4 linked regions of the Drosophila melanogaster genome follow. The protein of the gene in region 1 interacts with the protein of each later gene in a pairwise test. Each region holds a gene or a part of one and is shown in the gene's direction. Other genes may lie near its edges.

The links.
Region 2: the proteins of AdamTS-A (region 1) and MagR interact in a two-hybrid assay, tested with the Drosophila melanogaster proteins (one large-scale study listed by BioGRID).
Region 3: the proteins of AdamTS-A (region 1) and unc-119 interact in a two-hybrid assay, tested with the Drosophila melanogaster proteins (one large-scale study listed by BioGRID).
Region 4: the proteins of AdamTS-A (region 1) and Epac interact in a two-hybrid assay, tested with the Drosophila melanogaster proteins (one large-scale study listed by BioGRID).

Annotation. Positions count from the first base shown.
Region 1 is NT_033777.3:15,472,976-15,478,755, reverse strand, and holds the start of AdamTS-A (ADAM metallopeptidase with thrombospondin type 1 motif A), read left to right. Parts: upstream 1-2,562; 5' UTR 2,563-3,467; coding exon 3,468-3,869; intron 3,870-5,780.
Region 2 is NC_004354.4:15,732,565-15,736,934, forward strand, and holds MagR (magnetic receptor), read left to right. Parts: upstream 1-1,705; 5' UTR 1,706-1,804; coding exon 1,805-1,888; intron 1,889-1,988; coding exon 1,989-2,042; intron 2,043-2,534; coding exon 2,535-2,610; intron 2,611-2,679; coding exon 2,680-2,757; intron 2,758-2,824; coding exon 2,825-2,928; 3' UTR 2,929-3,216; downstream 3,217-4,370. Other genes in the region: CG8191 (uncharacterized protein), read left to right, coding at 1-664; CG12379 (uncharacterized protein), read right to left, coding at 678-989, 1,147-1,359; Arp6 (Actin-related protein 6), read right to left, coding at 3,273-4,370. UniProt on the Drosophila melanogaster protein: Involved in the assembly of mitochondrial iron-sulfur proteins. Probably involved in the binding of an intermediate of Fe/S cluster assembly. Required for maintenance of circadian rhythms under constant darkness.
Region 3 is NC_004354.4:7,287,486-7,293,294, reverse strand, and holds unc-119 (unc-119), read left to right. Parts: upstream 1-1,996; 5' UTR 1,997-2,502; exon of another isoform or gene 2,503-2,506; intron 2,507-2,617; 5' UTR 2,618-2,729; intron 2,730-2,899; 5' UTR 2,900-3,044; coding exon 3,045-3,550; intron 3,551-3,616; coding exon 3,617-3,789; intron 3,790-4,030; coding exon 4,031-4,149; 3' UTR 4,150-4,928; downstream 4,929-5,809. Other genes in the region: CG2059 (uncharacterized protein), read right to left, coding at 5,246-5,384, 5,449-5,586, 5,655-5,809. UniProt on the Drosophila melanogaster protein: Myristoyl-binding protein that acts as a cargo adapter: specifically binds the myristoyl moiety of a subset of N-terminally myristoylated proteins and is required for their localization.
Region 4 is NT_033778.4:6,795,330-6,801,146, reverse strand, and holds the start of Epac (exchange protein directly activated by cAMP), read left to right. Parts: upstream 1-2,205; 5' UTR 2,206-2,377; intron 2,378-3,734; 5' UTR 3,735-4,206; coding exon 4,207-4,241; intron 4,242-5,817.

The DNA of each region.
Region 1 (5,780 bases):
TCTCAATAATTCCGCAGGCCTGCCGATTGGATTGGATCTCGGGTCCGAACGGATCGCTGGAATGGCTGTTTCGGGTTTTCGCAAGCTTTCGATCATTCAATCAGGATCAATATTTATCAATCAAGTGTGTGGGTGAGCGCAAAAAAAAAGCGACTGAATGGAACTATCAGAGCAGAGCATAAACATATAGAAATGCCGAACCAGCTCACGCATTAGACATGCTCACCCATTATTATACATACATACGGACAGACATACGGACAGACGCAATTGACTAAGAGGCCTGCGCGTGTTGGACGCACGGACGGATAAACAGACAGTCAGTCTGACATCGAACATCTGAAGACTTCGAATTCGATAGTGATCCGTAGTCTAGGGCTCTTCACAGCCTCTCGCTTATTGATCTTCGATCCACACGAAGGCCGCCAGCGTGCAGATCGAAGTTGCACAAATGCCAGGACAAGGGGTCTGGATTGGGTATCCACCTGAAAGTGATTCTCTATCCAAATCCAAGTTGGGGCCAGTCCATCTATGCTGTTGCCATATAAGCATCAACAGCTAAACAAAAGTTTATGGCTATCTGCCCGCCTTATGATCTAAATGCGTTAATTATTAGGATGATACAATGCGATCGGAGCAGATAGCATAGATACAAAAATGGATAGACAGATAGATACATTGTGGTCAGCGGTCTCCAGTGGCTCGATCATTAGCATCTGAAAACCAGCGGCGCCTCTTTGAGCAATATTTCCTAATTTAGAACGTATGCTTTCCTACAGATCAGTATGCGATTTGCTAGACTGAGCAATTTATTAGTGACTTGGGGAGAGACTCCAGCTAGGAGTCGTTTATTTTGTTTAGTGGCTGTGTAAACATTGCTTACAGGGCATGATGATTAGTTCGGTGTAATACAAACAGCCTTCTTGGGGAACTCACTTGCCCCCTCCAGACTTTTAGGGCTATTTTGTAAGATGTTCTGTTATGGCTGCTGTTTTATGTTGGCATCATTTGGATGCCGGCTGTTTGTTGTTGATTACAAAACAAGCGTTTTGTTGCCGATTGCATGGTTGCATGGAGAACGCTCTTCCTGGAATCTTTTGAGATGTTTTTCATTAGTCCACCATTCTCGCAACATCCGTAGTATATGAATATGCATCATCGTATTTTGGAATATTTTTAAATTTTCGCCGACCTCCACGGCGGCGAAATGGATTTTTAATTTCCAACTATACTTTAATTTGGCAAACGAGCTCTGGTCTTTTAATTGATTAATTCTTATTGCTGCGTTTGATTAAAGAAAATATTTAGTATACAATAGGGTCAATTGCTACATATGGTAATTTGGCACAGAAGACATTTATGTGGAAGAGTTCTCGGCGTTCAAATAATGGAGCGAATGGCTACTATTTTTATTCACTGACGCGATCAGTAGATTGATCTTGACCCACATTGGATGGGCTGGGATCCGGCAGATGTCGCACACTCTATGCCCAAATGAGACAATATAAAGTATAAAGTATAAAGTATTGTTTATAATGATACCAATTTGAGACAAATCAGTTACACTTGCCTATCTAAACTATTACGATATGTTTGTTCAGCTTGTGTAGATTATTTAGATATATCTTTATATTTGTCGCATTTCTGAGTAAAGGCTGTCGTGTCAGTTTATTTACGTCAAAAAAAGAATTTTTTTTGATACTGATGAGCTAGTCATCATTGTACCATTCTCTGTGATCATCAACTTCCTTTTTTTCTTCCGAAATGACTTCTTCCGGAAGTGCACCACTGGTAATGCCCAGGGTCTTATCCTCTATTTCAAAAGAATTCGTATTCAAAGTTTTTAGTACTGCTCGGTGCGATTAGTAATGCATAGGCTAGTAAAATAAGTCATAAGTAAAAAGAGTTTTATTATTTACTCAAGTACATACTTACTCAAATTGGTTGGTATCACACAAGTGTGAACATGTTTACAAATTTTGATTACTTTTAAAAACTATTACTGAATAAAGCATGCAGCATAAGCCTATTTTTTTTTTTTTTAATATTTATATTATTTCATCCGAAAAGGCAGATACTCTAGATGCAAAGATTGTTACTATGCTAACACACCTTATCTTATCCGATGATAATTATGTCCACACACTTAATCCTCACATGTGCAAAAATATTGAGTAAGCAGAGGCGCACTTAAGAGAGCGTTCGAGTGCTCTTTTAAGCCGCGCTCGGCTCTCTTTTCGCCACAGCGCTCTCTGCGCAGAGAAGCCGGCTGTTCTGCGTACTGATATGATTCTGACGTATTTCTAATCTCTCTAAAACACTCCTTCGGAATCGAAATCCTAAGCCCATTCAGCAAACCCATATCCCTATACTCGTGCCTACATACGAGTATGTACATACATATGTACATATGTATGTATGTATGTTGTACAGCATATAGCTGCGAGAGAACCGCTTTTAGCTTTCGGAGCGATATATGTTCGCGATCTCAGATTGCTTGGCGGTACGGCGGAACGTCCGCTACCAACTGCTGTTCGGCGAGCAGTGTTCAGTCCGCAGCGGGAACTCAAGCGAGCCGAAACGAAACATCGCCAGATACAGATACAAATTCTCTGGTTCGCAGCATTGGTCTGGTCCATCGGCTCGTTCTCGTCCGTTTCATTTATTTGCGCGCGCGCGGTAGTATCAGACAATTGCTAAAGTTCCATTTGTAATATTAATCCAGTTGCGATTTCTAATTCGAATTTGAATACGTATTCATCCCAGTGCGCCAGTGTATTCCGTATCCTGACCAGCCATGTCGGCCAGATGGCGATAGCGATGCCGATGCCAAACGATCGGCGTGTTCTTGTGAACTCTGACATGGTGCTCAGTTGTGGGACAACCTTCGCCACCGAAAAGTTTGCAAAAATAGCCGCTGGCCGAAAGCGAAAAGAAAGCCAGCAACTCAGAATGCCAACGGTGGCCAAGTTAATGGTGCAGCTCGAAAGTGAATGCATTCGGCGCGATGTGTGAAGTTCAAGCTTAACATTGGCCAAAACCCAACCGCAACTGCGAATAAATTCTGTGATTCGGCAAAAAGATTCATCATGAGATCGTACAATGGCTCCAGTACTAAGTAGTTTATCTAGCTAATCGCAGCCATAAGTGTGAGTCGTTTTAATACCCACGAGCCGTAGTCTTTGCCTTTCTGTTCGTTCGTATTTTCGCATTTTTTGGCGGGTGCGGTGCCCACGGCAACGGAACGAGACTGTCGCATTTCAATTAACAAAATAAGCAAAAAGCCAAAGAGCCAAAGAGCCATAGAGCCAACATAAGTGTAAAGATACATATATCTACAAGATATACGTATAGCCGTATATACGCATACTGTGGATTTTGTTGCTCTTTCGCGCGCATTTTTGCACGTGCCATTTGGGATTTCGGATTTCTGAGATTGGAGATCGCTATCTTATCTGGTCATCGCCATGTCCATGCCGGATGCCGGTTCACTTAAATCGCCCGCCGGCGGCCAGGAGGTCGAGTGCCATCGCCTGCTGTCGGACCTGCCCGCCTTCGCGTATCCCAGCACCACACTGCGGTCCACAACTTCTGGTCACAGCACTGGCACGAATAGTACCACTGTCTGCGAATCTCCCGGTGCTCGGGATCGTACCTCCTTCGCGTGCTCCTCCTCTTGCGTATCATCCGCCTGCTCAGCCACCGCCTCCGATGACGACGAGGATGAGCGTGCCCTTGAGCGCTGTCTGCGTGGGACGACGGACGACCTTGGGGAGTCCGGCCTGCGGTATTCGCTGAAAGGACCACCGCCGGAGCTCTACTCGGCCAAGAAGGACTTCATCAGCAAGGGTCCGCTGCTGGGCAGACAGGTAGGTCCTAAATCCGAGCTCTACATAAGTATAAATATTTTTGGAGGCCTAGTCCGCCGCATCGAATTTCGTGGGCTGATCGAATTCGCAGACCGGGATTTTAACGATTTTTCATTTATTTGTGTTTGTATTCGTCTCTGTCTCTCTCTCTCTTTTTTTTCTACTTTATCGAAATCGGCTGGCCAAGCGAAAACCAAATTTAAGTTAATTTATTGCATTGATTCCACATCAATGTGTCGAGTTCTTTCCTTTCTTTTATAATTTCGGTTGATTTGCCGATATTTTGGTGTGCTCGTCTCGTTTTGTATGCCGCATTGTTTTATTTCGTTTCATTTCATTTCATTTCATTTTTTTTTTTGTTTTGTTGCTTTTGCCGCCACTCTGGCTCTCTATTCGATTTTGATTAAATACCACTGGCGACACAAAGAAAGCGACAACCAAAGCGTTGACCACCGCATTTGAATTCACACGCCTCACTGGCCACGAAGCACCGCGCACGCGGCAGCGGAAATGTGAATCTGGATCCCAAGTTGGATCCACGATAGGATTCTCGGCAACCTCACCGTTCGACAGCTTCAAACAGACTGAAGATGGCAACGTGTTCGAAGCACTTCGATCCAAATGCGCCAGAGCGCCTCCACGAAGTGCATTCATATATCAAGCAATCTGGTCATCAAACTATTCCTTTTGGTTTGGGTTTGCAGCTCCCACTTCTTTAGCTGACTCATAATCCATCCATTTGCGTCACACAGGGTCTGCTGATGTATGTCGGACGTGTGTTTCCGCCAGGTTGCCACTATCTTGCTCTAGCTCTGCAGCAACAATTTTCGGGAAAGCGAAAGATTCTGCAGCATCGGGAGCACATGTCCCACAGGAGATAAGAACATAAAAGATATCTAATAGAGATAAAGAACAAAGACGCCCCTGTCTGGATGTCACTGATATTCCATATTCCAGACAGGATTGGGTACGAACTTTTTTTTGCCCATTAGTGCGAGGCAGACGACGAATTAAGATGCAAATTTCGATAAACATTTTCAAGTTCGGTTTAAGGAAATGGTATTGCAGTTACACACGACCTGGGTGGAAACAGCACATAACTACGATTTACAGAGCTCAACAAGGTGTGAAAAGCGTTTGTTTCGGGACGTGACAACAACGTGAATGGAAACATGCCTAAATCACGGCTTACTGGCTAACTGGCAAGCTGGCTAACTGGCTAACTGGCTAGCTGGCTTACAGGCCATTAGAATTTTATCAACGTCCGCCTGGCGGGCAATGTAAAATGTGAAAAACGACACGATCCCCCGGTCCATGAATACATAATAATGCATAATAATGTTGGGTGCGCGAGTGGTGAAGTCTGTAGGCCCAACTGCCACTGATAACGGGCCATGTGTGGCAACGTAACCCCCTCGGGATCGAATGGGAATAGGATGTACTGTCTATTTGGGTTGTATGTATAAACTCGTATGCACATCGCTTGGCATTTTAGAAGCACATGAGTAATTGTGACATATTCAGTGCGGTGCGACTCGATTCACTCGCTGTTGTGAATGTTTCGAAAATAGATTTTCTAGTTTTTCGCGTGGCGCCTAGAATCTGAGAAGTCGGGAAATACATGCATGTAAGTAAGGCTGCGCCGTCCAATTTGTATTTCGACAATAAAATTTTCACAATGTGTAGAATTTGAATATTTATTTTCTTGCTTTTTGTTTCTGTTTCGCGTTTTGTCTTTTTTTTTTATTTATTTATTTAGTTTTTTTTTTTGAGTCGTACGTCGTCGCTTTGCGCGTGTTTCTCTGTTCTCTTTTTTCAATTTATTTCGTCTACTTTAAATAAAAACAAAAAAATATGCTAGTTTCGGAAAACCGAAACTTATACACCCTTGCAGTAATTATTTGCAGAGTT
Region 2 (4,370 bases), on another chromosome or scaffold:
GATTCAGCCTGCGTGGAGTGAGATCGGTGATTTGGACTGGTCGGCAATACGCCAATCGGATGCGCTTTCTTCCAGCGATTTTATCAATCCCGATCTTCAGCAGATGCGACGGCTAGTCAAGCGGATTGGCCGCTTATCCAGCCTTGAGGACATGCAGACCGCAATAAAGCGCTCCATGGAGCTGATTGAGTACCAGGTGTGGCTGCAGCTTTTTAGGGAGCCAAAGGACAGCGAAATTCACAAGGATTGCTACCTAATGCGCCACATGATCTGTGACACTTTATCGGAGGGCGGATCTACCGCTTGCACCGGCTTCCTGCACAATATCTTTCTGTTCGTATCGCAATCCGCCAATGAGATGAGATTCTGGGCCAGTATGGAGCATGTACGTCTGGCCGGCAGCCTTATTGCCTACCTAATCGACCATTGGAATCGCCACCTGCCCTACCTAGACTTGGATGAGATGCAATTGACCGCTGATGCACCAGTCACGGCTGTCTCGCAGCTGCCCGTGAACGAGGCCACATACATAACCTACCTGATGCTGGCCACCGGATCCATATGTCGCCGGCAGTTCGCCCAGCAGCTGCGTGCCCAACTACCCCCCAATTCCTGGACACATTTGCTGGAGCTGCTAAATAAAGTGGCATTCGTTTTCACTTAACTACACTACGAGTTTAATCATGTTTCGGCAAAAACTCGCAGTTGCCATCGGTCAGGCGAACCACCTTCTCGCCCTTCTCGGCCAGGATCTCCTCGATGTTGCGCTTGCCGTCCAGATCTGTGAACCAGTTCAGATTGTCGGCGATCAGGTGGTGATTGGAGCAGCCCTCGCAGGTCACGATAACAACGCCGCGTTGGTATGCCAGCTTCGAAATGGTCTTCATGTTCCGGGTCTGGCACACCTTGCAGGTGTAGATCAGCTGCATCTTGGCCTCCAGTTTCGCCAGAGGAATGCTATTCGTGGCCACCGTCTTGTCCGCATCGTCCTGGGAGCAGAGCAAAATAATTATACTTAACTTTTTTGTTATACATAATTTTAAATATTGCATTCCATTTATAATATTTTAAATTACAAATGTAAATAACATTATTTAATATCAATTGGGTAGTTTATTTGTATTTACAACTGATTTCCAAACATACCACTGGCTTACTGCAGTGTATACTGCGGCAAATGCACGTGTAGTTGTTGCTGCTGCTAAAAACAGCTGTTTGTGTTTTGGTTGCAAAGTGATGCACTTGCAACTGCAATTGTGGACTATTTAAAGCATCAATTTGTGTTCTTCGGGAACTGGTAAGTAGTGCGCCTCTTCTCACACCTGCGCTGATTTTATAAAATTTTTTTAGGGCGGACATATCCTCGATTTTGTTGATATTATTTAACTCAATCGAAAAGTGTGAAATTCATTTAAACTTAGAGATGGCACCTCCTTTCATTTCAAAACTAGTCGCGAGTCACGATTTTAAAAAGTTACTATAGCTGTCACTGGTGCTGATAAAATTTGCTGTAACTCACAGACATTAAAACCAATTGTTAATATAAATTCTACTGTGAAATATTAAGTTAAGTTATTAATGAAGTCCACCTGGACTCTGGGGCTTAAAAATAACTTATTTTTCAAACAGGTAGTAACCGTTTCTCCGCTATCCCGTGACACTGCCAATCGATGACATCTGTTAATGCCATCTCACGTGATACTATCGACAGTACTATCGACCATCTGGTAGTAAGCACTCATATTTTCGAATTTTTTTTGTGGAAATTCTCGAGTCAAACAAATTATATAAAGGGCACGAACCGATGGCGACACGTGTGGTGGCAACGGCGACAGTGCGGGCGGTGAAAGGCCGGAAGTTAATCCCGACGCGGGCCGCTCTGACTCTGGTAAGGAAACCAAAACCTGGTGAAATCGGCGCATGCTGCTGCTGATGAAGTAACAGTCCCCTTCGATCTGATGATTCTGATCTCCCCCAATCCTTTTCAGACACCCGCGGCGGTGCTACGCATCAAGACGCTTCTGCAGGACAAGCCGGACATGGTGAGTGACTGCTGACAAGTTGTCATCGAACCAAGGCTACACTTTAGTGGGCATTCTATCGCCTTCCACGATTGAGATCTTGATAATCTCGCCTAGCTCTTTAAAGGTTCCCGTGCATGTTATTTAAGTTTTAGCACTGGTTGCATGGAGTATAGGAAGTTCGCAAGAGGGCTTCTTCAAGCATTATATTTGACAATAGGCTTTTTCCTCAGTCAGTCATATATTTTAGCGCAAATTATTAGCTATAAATATAAGCCATGCTAACTAATTCGGCCTGCGTTAATCAGCTAGATTTTCCAAATTTTGACCCGACCAAATTTTGATGAGCATGTTTATCTTGTTGTTAATCATTTAGTTTTTAAGTGATTAAATTCTTTGAATTGAGACAGACTTATTAGAATACCGAGTTCTTTGTCTTTGGTCAATAAACAAGGCTGCCTATAAATTAGCCACACAGTTAATGACAGAAATTCGATGTTGTTTCTGCCACAGGTTGGCCTAAAGGTGGGCGTACGGCAGCGAGGATGCAATGGTCTGTCCTACACGCTGGACTATGCCAGCCAAAAAGGTAAGCCACTCTGGACAGAATGTTGTTCGGTGGAGATCTAATGCTGCGTTCTGTGTCGATTTTTGCCAGCAGACAAGTTGGATGAGGAGGTGGTCCAGGATGGCGTCAAGGTCTTCATCGACAAGAAAGCGCAGTTGTCGCTGCTGGGTAAGTTCATACCAGCTTAGCATAGCATTGGACAAGCCAGCTAATACAGAGTATAATTCGCTTGCAGGTACCGAGATGGACTTTGTGGAATCGAAGCTGTCCAGCGAGTTCGTGTTTAACAATCCGAACATTAAGGGCACATGCGGCTGCGGCGAATCGTTCAGCATGTAAACCGATGGAGATCCGGAGGAGATCCGCCGGCACCCGCCTCGCAGACAGACCTAAATTAACTAAGTTAAATGCAGTACGCGGCCCGACCTTGTATCTCATTACGTTGTTGGCAAAAGCACCGCATCCTTTGTAAATTTTACTTCGCAAACGAATTCTAAATATTAAGTTGTGTTCTATAGTTAAATTTTAGTTGTAGCGCTAGGTAAGTGACGCACCCGCTTCCTTGCCGCAGGCTGGCAGTTTGTCCTCTTTAGCCCTAGTTCAATATATAGACAAGGAATGTTCTAGAAAACCCATGTGCAAATCAAGTTTATTATTGAAAAAATACTTCGACTACGTGCATGTTACCGCTGATTGATACCCTGGAAACCGTACTCCTCGTAGTCGTCTTGCGTGTAAACAAACTCTTCAAAGTTGGGGCTGGTCGCAACCTCCTTGCCGCCGTACCACGCGTACCGCACCGGATCCTCGGGACAGATGAGTGACACTTCAAGATCGTCGGGCACCAGGGCACGTAAATCGCGCTTTAGGCGCGGCAGAAATCCCGGAAACTGGGCACTGCCGCCCACAATAAGGATGTTGAGCAGGAGTTCGCGGTGCGCTTCCCAGGGGCAAGCCTTCAGACAATCGGCCACCGCTTCCGGAATGCCCACCTGTTGCACACCAATGTCCGAGGGATTGAAGAGCAGCTCGGGCACGGTGAAACGTTCATTGCACAGCGACACCATTTGCTGTTGCTCCTCATCCTCGCGCGGCTTTCCGGGAACACGAACATAGCCCCGTTTGACGGTGGTGAAGTCTGGAAGGACATAATCAACTGTGACTTCGCGTCGCTTCTCCTCCGAATAATGCACCTGCATCGCCTGCTTGAAGTCCTCCGCCACAAAGCAGACATCTTCCTTGATCTGGTTAACTACATGACTCTCGTCCATGACGTTTAGGTGGCGATAAGAGATTAGCTCCTTTAGCTGGTTGGTCAGCGCCTTCCCGCCCATGTCGATGCGTCGTATGCCTTGGAGAACGCGCCGTCCCAGCACAAAAGGAACAACGTGGGTGAAACTGTAGCCTACATCGATGATGATGCAGTTAAGCGATTCCATTGTAGTCCGCTCCTCGCTGTCAGCCACATAGTTAAAGGCAGCCAGATCGGCAGCAGTGGTCTTGTACACCCCATCAACCTTGTACTCCTCAAACAGAATCTCCAGCGTTGCCTCCTGGATGCTCTGGAAGTTCATCTGCGGCTCAGTGATGACAATATTGCGGTTCTCCAGCGAACAACCAATGCCGTCCTTGCTGAATATGTAATCCCACACCGTTTTCTGTGTGTGCCAGTTGAGCAGGTAGCCGCGCTGGAACGCCAGAATGTAATAGAGCGCCGATGTGTCCCGGCATTCATCTATCTGATTTCCCACAAAAGCGCGTCGCCGCTCGCTCTTTGCTTT
Region 3 (5,809 bases), on another chromosome or scaffold:
TTATAAAATGTGAGCAACGTAATACTATGACCATAAGATCCCATTTATTAGATGCAACAAGCTTTGGAAAATATTTCTAGCCCCCTTTTTTTGTGCCACGCCCCTGTTCGGCCATTCGAGTACGAATATTATCGCCCACGATTTTTGGTTTTTGTTGCTGCTCTACTGTTTGTTTTCGATACCCAGGCACACAGACGCACACACAAACACGCATTGAAGTACACAGGAGGGGGTACTTGAGTTCTATGGCTCGAAAAGTTCTATGGTCCGTCCGTGAAAGAAAGAAATATTCAAACAAATTTCATCAACTAACAATCGAACGTTAAGTTTCATTTGCTATGTAAATGTAAATCGATCGGTGATAAGTCGGATGTAGCTACTATTTGGAAAAGCTTATATACATTAGTATGTATATAAATTCTGAAGAAAACAGGTTAAGTATTTTTGGGTTACCATCCTCTGGGCGAATAAAATTATCCTTAAAAGTGTCCTTTGATATAATTGAATAATATAGAGTTAGTACTTTTAAATTGGCCACCTGCTGCAGTCATTAAAAATTGGTTCGAAAATATTTAATCTCATGGAACAGCAAATTTAACTCAAATGAAACCGAATCCTGCCTATGGCATTTGCGCTGATACAAAAGATGGATTATCCCGCGAATTCCTTGGATCTTTTGTCGACCCTTTCGGCCTGTCAGATGGCATATTCCTCAGGTGCCCGGCTGTCTGCAGATTTTATGTGAGTTTTTGGGGGATAAATCAAGTGAGGGGCGGCGGTGCAAGGGGGGGGGGGTCAGTTTGGAGATCTCCAGTCAAACTGTACTAAAGATAGAGCCGAACACGTTCCCAGTGCTGCCACACAGATACACACCAATACCAATGTAAGAAACAAAAAAAAAAAAAAAAACTACAAAAAAAAAATACAGGAAACGCGGACGCCAATGGAGAAAAAAAAACAGGGGCAGGGGCAGGGGCAGTGGACAGTGGACGGGGGATAAGTGCATATGTGGCCCCTGAAACTTAACACTTCTTTGGCTCCGGCTGCGAATATTAAAATACCCACTTAAGGCCAACAATAACAGCGGCAAGAAGCAGAGAAAATGTGAAAAGGAGGAGCTAGAATTGAACTCAAGTACTTTCGTCTCGCACTGAAAGAAAAAAATACATTTATGTATGAATATGAAAAAAAAAACTATCTTAATATCATAGTGCTATTTTATTTACATGAAATCTATAAACTAAAATAGCGACTCACTAAGCGTGAAAAATCGAAATAGATCTAAATAATATTATAGCCAGCATTTCTCGCAGTGCACAAACATGATCTGGCATTGGCGCCCGTGCGTCTGAATATGGAAATCGAAATGGGTCCGAGTATGGGTGCGTTGTATATGGAATGGGATGGGATGTGGATAGGAGGACACTTGAGTTTTAGGCCGGGCTTATCTGCATTCTAGGCGAAGGGAGGGGAAGCGAAAGGAAAGGAAACCACTCGACGGCGCACTTGAGAAGCGGGAGAAGCAAGCGGCAGTCTGCTGCATGGATATTAACTAATTGTCGGCCACAAAAATGCATGGGAAGGCGATCGCAACACGCCATTTAACACATTTGCACGCTTCCAAAGTGTTTCCTTTTCGAATTTGCTTTGTATATAGTGGTTTACTCTGGCGAGTGACGGGGGTATATGCATTTTATTTTTTAGTTTGGGTTTTCAATTTAAGCTTAAGATGTGAAAATCTATACTTATACTTGTCTATACTCATTATTTCCGATTAAGCTTTCTGCAAACGTTCGCTTACTTTCGGTTATACAATAAATAATGTTAAAAATCTGAATAGCCTTTTTTCTAGATGTAAAATGTAGAATATTTTGAATATTGCGCCAACAGTGTGACCCCTGCTAGAACGCAGAAATGTTTTTTTGCGAGTATGTGGCAACGTTGGTCGTAAGTTTTTCCCCATGCGCGAACGGTCTCACCGATTTCCTGTAATGCATCATCGATAATCTATCGATTGCTGAGTAGTGCAAAAAAAGTGGGCAAAAAAGGTGCAATGTTTAGCGTTTAAGTGCGTTAAGTTGCTTTTGCGGACGACAACAACAACACCAGCAGCATTGCCGGTCAAATTGATCTAATTGATTTTCGGGCAGTGCCAACAGCAACTAAAACCAAATTAATAAATGAATCCCTGCGCATACATAAACATATAAAAACACACACACACACACATACATTCGCATAAAGGACGCGAACCGAAAAGGGAAAAACAAACACAAAGGAAAAAAAAAGGAAAAAGGAGAGCGCAGCTTTTTCAGAAATTGGGTCATTTGTTGTTGTTGTTGTTGTTGTTGCTGCTGTTGCTGGTGATTTTCAAACGAATTTCATTTGTTGCTGTCGTCGTCGGTTCGGTGTTGTTGTTGTTGTTGCTGTTGTTGCAATGGTCGTGGACGTTGTTGTCGCTGACAGCTAAATGTTATGGCAACACTTGCAACCTGAATTCGTGTGGGTAAGTAGTGTTTGCATTTATGTTGAATTTATTTTAACTTATATACCTTATACTTAACTTATTTTTGTGCTTTTCGCCAAATAACTATTCATATTTGGCAAAAATTAATAGTGAGGAGCGGAAAGCGAAAGGATAATAGGGTAGCGGAGACGAAGCCTTATATTTCCACCAGAAAATCCTGGCACAATTTATGACAACTCTACACTTGTGTGTGTTTGTGTTGGTGAGTAACTTAACAACTATGACTTCTTTTTTTTTTTTTTGCTATGTTAAAAAAAAAATGTGATATTTCATTATTCAGTTTAGTTTGAAGTAATAGAAATTCAAAAGTATTTGTGCTATATTTTATTATTTACTCCCTAATAACCAATGCCTATTCCTTTCTATTCGCAGAGTGAGACAGCGGAGTAGCTTCTTCAAATCAAAGGATACCACTGCAGCAGCCATCCAGCCAGGAGCCTTAAAAAAGCTGTTCAGCTTGAGAAATCCGAAACGCAGACTATAGACAAATAATACCACCAGATTCATTCCGTGCACAATGAGCGTGGTGGGTAAGCAACTAAATCCGGTGCAATCCTCCGGTGCAGGCGCAGTGACAACGTCTTCCTCCGCGGCCGCAGGATCCTCTTCTTCGAACAGTGGAGTGGAGGCCAACGGCGGCAGTGGAGGATCGTCGGGAGCTGCAGCAGCGGGCGCTGGTGCCTCCGGTGATGCCAAACGGCCTGCGGAGTCTTCCAGCGTGACTCCCGACGAGGTGCTCCATCTGACCAAGATCACGGACGACTATCTCTGCTCCGCCAATGCAAATGTGTTCGAGATTGATTTCACGCGGTTCAAGATTCGCGACCTGGAGAGCGGCGCTGTGCTCTTCGAGATCGCCAAACCGCCGAGTGAACAATATCCGGAAGGACTGTCCTCGGATGAAACCATGCTGGCGGCTGCCGAGAAATTGTCACTGGATGACACTGCCGATCCAAATGCCGGACGCTATGTGCGCTATCAGTTCACACCGGCATTTCTCAACCTCAAAACAGTGGGAGCCACGTAGGTTATACAGTATTTGCATTTGTTTTAAATGCCTCTCAATTTGTAAGTTTCCCTTATTTGCAGTGTGGAATTCACTGTGGGCAGCCAGCCGCTTAATAATTTTCGTATGATCGAACGCCACTTCTTCCGCGATCGCCTGCTAAAGACGTTTGACTTTGAGTTCGGCTTTTGCTTTCCATTTTCGAAGAATACGGTTGAGCACATCTACGAGTTTCCTAACCTTCCACCCGACCTAGGTGAGCAATTTTTACATAATCCCAGCCAGCATGACACGCAATTGAAAGTTGCTGCCAAAAGTTGAAGGGGTTTGTGGGTCAAGGTCGTTTACGATTTGCGCCTGTGAGATGAGGCTTCTATTGGTCAGATTGCGAGCAGCTATCATGGTTTTTATTTTTTGTTATCGGTTTGTAGGATGTGGACTTATTAATGAAATGCAATTCACATAAATATGTTCGTTCGTTTTCCATTTTTTTTTAGTTGCTGAGATGATATCGAGCCCCTTTGAGACGCGCTCGGACAGCTTTTACTTTGTGGGAAACCGACTCGTCATGCACAACAAAGCCGACTACGCCTACGATGGCGGCAATATAGTCTAGAAACTCAACTATAATGGAACTGCAACTAGAGCAAAACTAATAACTAAAGAACTAGAAACTACAGAAGCTGTGAGACAAAATCAATGACTTGTCACACACACACACACACGAAACACCCACTCAATGTCAACAATCACACTCACAAACACATCGAATCGAATCGAGGAATATTATCACAGCCATTTTAGCCTTAGCACACCAAAGTTTTACCCACCATTCCTGTTTGATGTATTTAGCATCAAGATATGATCTCCTGCAAACGGAAACTAACACACAAACACAACAACAACACACTGAAGCACGCGGATTGTGTTCATTTATCAATGATTTCCACTTTGACTATATAATTTTAAGTGCTATGTGATTTCCCTTGATTTATATATGTATTTGTACACACTTATTTAATCCTAATAAGTAAGGACACTCCACACACACACCCAACAAGAAACAACAAATACATATATATAAAATACGTACGTATACACACACGCACACACAGAACTTATGAGAAGCGAATTGGAAATTTTCAAAAAAAAAAAATTGAGGAAAATCCATTTGCCGTCAATTTTTGTATGCAGCATACGAAATCATACGAAATCTATCAGCTTCTTCATGGCATTTTTTTCGTGTCTGTGTATGTATATTTTTTAAACAAAAACCAAATGGAAAAAGACGAACGTAACTGGAAATCCAAAAAAAAAAAAACACTAACGATTACACGCCGAACAAGAATGATAAATTAAATTACATTTTAAATGTACATACACCACTATAAATTGAAACTTTTCTAAGGGGGTTAAATCGAGGGCATTTCGTGCACTAAAGGTGCTTAAGAAATTTATTATATTCTGAAAAATCATCAAGTTCAGAACGCTTATATCAAAAAAAAAAATATATATATTGCTATCCCGCTCTTTTCGGTGAAGATTCTTGAAGATCTGCGTAGATCGTTGAAGAATGTCTTCTCGAGTTCTGAAGTGAAATTAATTTGAATTCCCGTTCCCAAGAAAAACAAAGCGTTCACTTTCCAATTTAGCTAAAGTCGATCTACGCGATTGACTTCTTTGTACATTTGGTTAAAATATCAAAATTTGGTCTACTCAGTTCTATTCAGGAACTCGCTGACTATTGTTAGAAACTCCTGCGGCTTTTCAAAGTGCACTAAATGTCCGGCATCCAGCCAGTGGATCTCAGAATTGGGAAACATTTTCTGTATCTGTGGCCATTGCTCGCGTCTAATAAAGATGGCAAAAAGATTCAATTAGTTTAGTTTACTTAGCACCTCGGGATCCAAGTTACCTCATGTAAGGTGATCGCGTGCCGCAAATGAACGTAGTGGGTCCCGTGTACGGCGGCAGTTCCTCCAAATTACTCTGATATTTGTCGAAGCGGGTGAGGAATTCACGAAGAACATGGGCATTGCAGGCCCAAGAGAAACTATAGGAAGATTATCTCATTTTAAAGCGGTTCCCAAAAAAGGCCAAATACATATGTGGCAAACTTACGCGCCGGTGTCAGGATTTTTTCGGAGATTCAGCATGATAAAGTCAACGGTCTCGTCTTCGGTGGCTTTCAGTAGTTTTTCCCGTGCAATTTTCCTGCCCTCAGACATGGACATGCTTGGCGAAAGGTCCAGGGAGACCATCGCGTCGAAAATTTC
Region 4 (5,817 bases), on another chromosome or scaffold:
GCACCAGTGACTGACTTTTGAAGCGACTGGCTGAGGATGGTGAGCCAAAGTCCTGGACAAGGACTTCGACAACAACGACTAGCTGACGACGAGTCGATCAATGTACAACAGCATTTTCTGCTAATGGGCCACAGGCAGGGTGGCAGGAAGCGCCATTAGACCAGGTGCCACATGCGTTGATGATGAAAAGAAAATGCATTAGGACCGGCCATGATGAGCCCGCACTTGGCCATGAAGGCCTTCAAAGCCAGCCGTGCCCACCAGCCGAGTTTATTAAGATCGCATTTATCATAATTACCGCCGGGTCGTTGTGTTGTGTCTGGTGGAGCAGGATTCAACGCCATGTGATGACATATTCAGCAGGCAAAGCGGCCGTTAAATTCTTGGAATTTCATTCCGCATTGGCAAGCCCGAAAAAATGTCTATGGTGGTCCTGTCAACATGGGGGAGGCTCATAAAAAATGCGACAGGCAGACCCCATGAAAAACCAAAAAAAAAAAAAAACCCTGCAACACAGGGAAAGTAGTCTTCCACTTTTATTACGTCAGTTCTATTTAGTGCTATACCGTTATTGTTAATTATGTCTAATTATATTAGTAGAAGTAATTCATCTTTGCACTTATCCTATGCTACACCCGTTTGTGTATAATGAAATACCTATCTAGGAATACCAGACTACGATCCACCTTAACTATTTTTCTTTCTGTGCATTAACAGCTGGGGGAAAAAGCCAAGAATTTATATGCGCTGGGGCAGCCTGTGGAGCTGGAACCGAAACTGGGAATGATTCATGCGGAAATAAAGGCACTCGAGAGTGCCGTAAATATTGTGGTGGCGACCACAACAACAGCGGCTCTGGGAAAGGTGGAAAACAAAAGGAAAGCTTTGCATTTTCGCACCTTTTCAGGAGCGAACACGACTGAATCGCCGTTGATTCATTAGCTGAATGTGACAAGCCGTCAGTGAATGTCCAAGTGTCCAAGTGACCAAAAGTCCGGGTGTTCACGCACTCGCTCCGTAAATTCTGTCCGTTGTTTCGTGTCCGCTGCTGGTGTGCATTATTTAATTGACATGTTGATTGTTTCGCATTGCGATTCCATTTTATGTGCACTTTCAGGCGAGGGTGTGAGGCAGTTCCGCCCGGGGCGCGGTGCGGGGTTGTCCGCTGTTCGCCCGACGGCCGAGCGGACGGACAAGTGCCTGTTGAAGAGCTGGTCAACTGCGACGACTCACCAAAATAACGCTCAACAGTTTGTTGTGGAGCACGTAGAATAGGAGAGCGAGCAGCAAATGTTGCTAAACATTCGAGTGAATAGAGTCAAAACAAATTGTTATTTCAAGTAGACTAGGCAAGCAATATTATTCGTAATACAACATATCAGATTCGATTAACTTTTCATCTTTAAAGCCCAATACACAATCTATATTTTTTTTTTTTTTATATTTATTTATTTAGAAGCGATGAATCCATACAATGCAGTAACAGTAACATAACAGCGCAATTAACATATAAAAGATAAAACCAAACCTCTCACTAATCATGTGAGGACTTAAGACAATCTATACTAATAAGCAATAAGCAAGTAAGTAAAACAAATAAATCAAACAAGAACATAAATTTATATGTTAAATGCTATATCATTATAGCCATCTTTATACAAATTGTATCTCTTTGCTGATTATCGTATATAAGTGTAGGCAGTAAATGAATAAGAATAATATTTAAATTAAATTAATATTAAGTTTAAAATCGTAAAAGAATAGTAGAAATCCATTCATATCACAAAATAATGGGATTCAAATTATAATAAATATTATAACAAAAGTAGTATAATTTCAAACACTATAAGCAAAGAAACTGTATTTAATTAGAACTACTTTGAAATTACGTTTTTTCGTGTGCCAAATTTTATTTGGATTTTGACCACACCGATTTGGATGTAAGCCCACTGTGCCGAAGATTTGTCAAACTTGTTGCTAAAAAACGCGCCAAAATATGTGAGTGACGGAAAGGGACGGCGGGAAGGCGGAACAAGGCCAAAAGTACCGCACCGCAGCCGTCAACACTGCAGTCATCGGCAATGAGTAACTTCCAACAACCCACCACGACCCCCAATCTCCGCCGGGAAACCCACCTGCGAGGCGCAGGACAGGAGCGTGGTGAAGAGCGCCGCTCGGAAGTCGGAAAATGGAAGGCGGCCGAGCAGTTGCGACGCGACTACCAAATGAATCGGACGCGATAGCGCTTCAGCGGAGGTCGAGAACTGAAATGTTTGCCCAAGAACTGTATATACCAAGTGCTTGAAAGCCGTTAGCAAGTGGTTCATTTAAATATTCGTTTGAAGTCGGTTCGATTTCAGGTATTCGCTGGATTTCGGTATGTCGCGTGGGTTCGAAACTAAAAGTTCATTTTCCGTGCCAAAAAGTGTTTGCCAACAAGAAGGACTTTAAAATATCGAATTCTGCTGCGGGATCTCTGTTACTCTTGCATCTTCTGATCCTTTTCTCCGTTCAGAGGATGCGTGAGTATTCGATTCATGATGTTTCTTCGCCACATGACCAAGCTAAATGGCTAAGTTTTCCGTTTGGCAACGGCTGCAGTGGGCAGTTAAATCACATCTATTGTGGTTCAAAGTTTTGCTTTCACTCGGTTGCTTAATTAAAACAAAGTTTGAAACCCTAAAGTGGAAATTACATGGAACATCTGTTTCCAGGGCGATTTCAAAGCTTGTTCAATTCAATTCCCTAACCGCCACTCCGGACACTAATTGCATTTGCTGGCAGGATGGACAACTCGTTCGAAAGTGGCCGCTTATCGAGTCGTCCACTCGGAATATCGCCAATATCAGTCTTATCGCCCCCGGGACTTTTGTCGCCATTTATGTACGTGGAGCCAGCCAGCGAGCGAACGACACGTCAGAAAACGTGGCATACATTCGGGCGCCTTCGCGGGCTGGCCACGATGGCGAATACTTAATTATTCATATGCGAGCTGATGGTCCTTCGCGATGTCTTTCCTTTTGAGCCGTCACTCGAACACTTGTTCCGCCTGCAGTTCCATTTCGCTGACGAAAGCCACTGCACTTCTGATGGGGTGGTATAAATTATGTTTTTTCCCATTGACGCAGAACAAAATACGCATTCGTTTGCGGTACAGATACAGATAGTGCAGCGCATGGGTAAACATGGAGTTCGGTAACGAATTCGCGGTTAGATCGTGCCTTCGCATGCCATACGATCTGGATTTGGGCATACTGGGAAATTAGAATGCCCATTGACAGCGCATTAAGTATACGCCGTGTGTGTGGAGTAATCTATTGTTATCTGGAAATCTATTGTTAGATTTGTGCGCCAACAGTTTGTTGGTGCTCCGCCCTCACCGCTCTCCTGCACCACAACACCCCCTCGCCGGCCGAGCAGGCATCAAAGCTTATTCATAACATTTGCTTTTGTTGGCGACACAGATACCCACAAGCACACACAAGCACACACACACTGACGCAGTGGGGCCTTCTGGGCAGCTATCAGCAGTTGGGAAAACCCTTTTTGGCAAGTCCAACAATAGCAATTCACATTAGTTATGTGGCTGAAAAAATCGGAAAGAGGGAAACTTTTACATCTGCTGCTGGCATTTTATATAAATTATATTAGAGTCCGACATCCCAAGGCTAGCTTACACTTACGACTGCTGTATAGTGAATTTAGACTCACATTCGCCCAATTTAACTTTGCAGCTGCTCGGTATCGAAATCCTCGTCGCCAGCCAAACGGGAGCTCAAACTGAAATCCATTTCCAAACTTTCGCCTAATCAACGAGCTACGTCCACTTACCCCTGGCTCCAACTCGAAAGGAGCTCGCTCCAACGCTCCCAAAAGCGGATTTCGAGTGCCTCGCTGGGCCGAGCCACCTGGCATGTCGTATTCAAAGGGAATCGCAGATTGACGGCCACATCGCGGATTGAGGTGACTGCAAACTGGGTGCGAGCGCCGCCATTACTCGGTATTTTGATTTCGCTTTCCTGGGCCGCAACGGGCAATTAATTTGCACCACTTTGGAGCCGCTCCGCCTCGATTTATGTGCTCTGCTCAAAGTTGGGGCAACTATTTGGTTTGGTGTTTGTGGAATGTGCTGTTCATAACTTGTATCATAACTTGTGTCAAACGGCGAAACTAATCGAGCGAGGGAGATTTAAATAAAAATTCAACATGGCGATGGAATGGATAACTGCAATGGACAAACGGTAAGTGATTTTTTAATGAGCTGCACAATTAATGAGCAGCGATTTTGGGGAACTTTTCTTTAAATTCTAAGTTTTTAGCTCCAAAAGTTTCCTTAGCTGAAACGGAATGCTTTCTCTTAAATTTAAGGCATTTCCCAGCTGAGTGCACAAGTTTCTTTCCTCTGTTTTCCCGGAGCAGACACGTACTCACACATCGACGTACGTGTAAGTTGAATGAAAAGCTCGACGTGGAGTACAAACAAAACGAGAACGAGAAGCGAAACATTTTAAAATGTTGCCGTCATGCTCGACATTCATTTGTCAAGAACCAACATCGGGGTGCCCCATCCTCCTCCATCCTTGATGGCTGGCAAATGGCCAATCCATCCACTTTGTGGACACGGCCTGCCACGAATTATCCGCTTTATTAAATCTCGATATCAATTCTCCGTAACTCAATGAGCCGCCTTCTGCACAGCAATTATTTCATCATTCCTGATTTGGACACCGAACAAAGGAAAATAAAAACAGGACTTTAATCATGACATTCATATCTTTCTTGTGAATTGAAATGCAAAATAAATGTAATTGTAGTTCGCTATAAATAAACCAACCCATTTAATGATACTACTCTTAAAATACAATTTATATTATGATAAAGCATTAAAGTAATTTACCATTCATTTCATGAGCTATGCCTGAAAAGTGTTTTCTGTCGTGCAAAAATAATAATTAAACCGCTGTAAAAGTATAAAAATACTATAATTTAATTGAAAATATATATATTTCTGCTGAAAGCTCCGCATTTCAGAGGTTTTAATGCACATACATTTTTTACGTAAATATGTGCTTTGCAATTGGATGGAGTTTAGTCTTGTGCAAACATTATTTTAGTGGAATAAAACAGAGGCACGGGACTATTGTTTTTTTTTTTTAGTTGATGTCAGACTTTATACTTTCCATTTAAGAGAGCGGTTTCATTTTATCTGGACACCACAGTATTTATCTTTTCACAGCCAACATAATAACATTACCCTTATCTAAATTAATGAAAAAGCTCATATGTGAGATGGAGTATCTCTCCTGATGACATGCTATTTCTAAAGCATTTACTATTGCAACAGTCAACAGAATAGTCAGCATTCTAAAGCATTTACTATTGCATCAATCAACAGAATAGTCAGCATTTAGCGTGTAAAATATTTATATACAATTACGGAATAACCAAATTTATTTTAGTGTGTGCGCAGTACTTAAGCTTAAGTTGAACTTGATTCGAGCTAATCAAACATTGACCAGAGATCAAAATTGTTTTTCAAAGTGTCTAAATCGATTTGCCCAACCGTAAATGGCCGGGAATCGAGCACACATTCTTCCCAGCAACCACTTGATGCAATTTGTTGGATTTCAGCTGGGGCATCGCTGGACGAGTGCCACCATTACCATTACCATTATTAGCCCCGCCTGTCCCCACCGACTGCTCAGTTGTGCGGCACACTCTATTATTGCAGAGTGGCCTTATATTTCATTGGTGTTATCCGAATGGGGCGTGCCTCCGCCTCATACCGGCCCGCCCCTAACCGCCGCGCACACACAC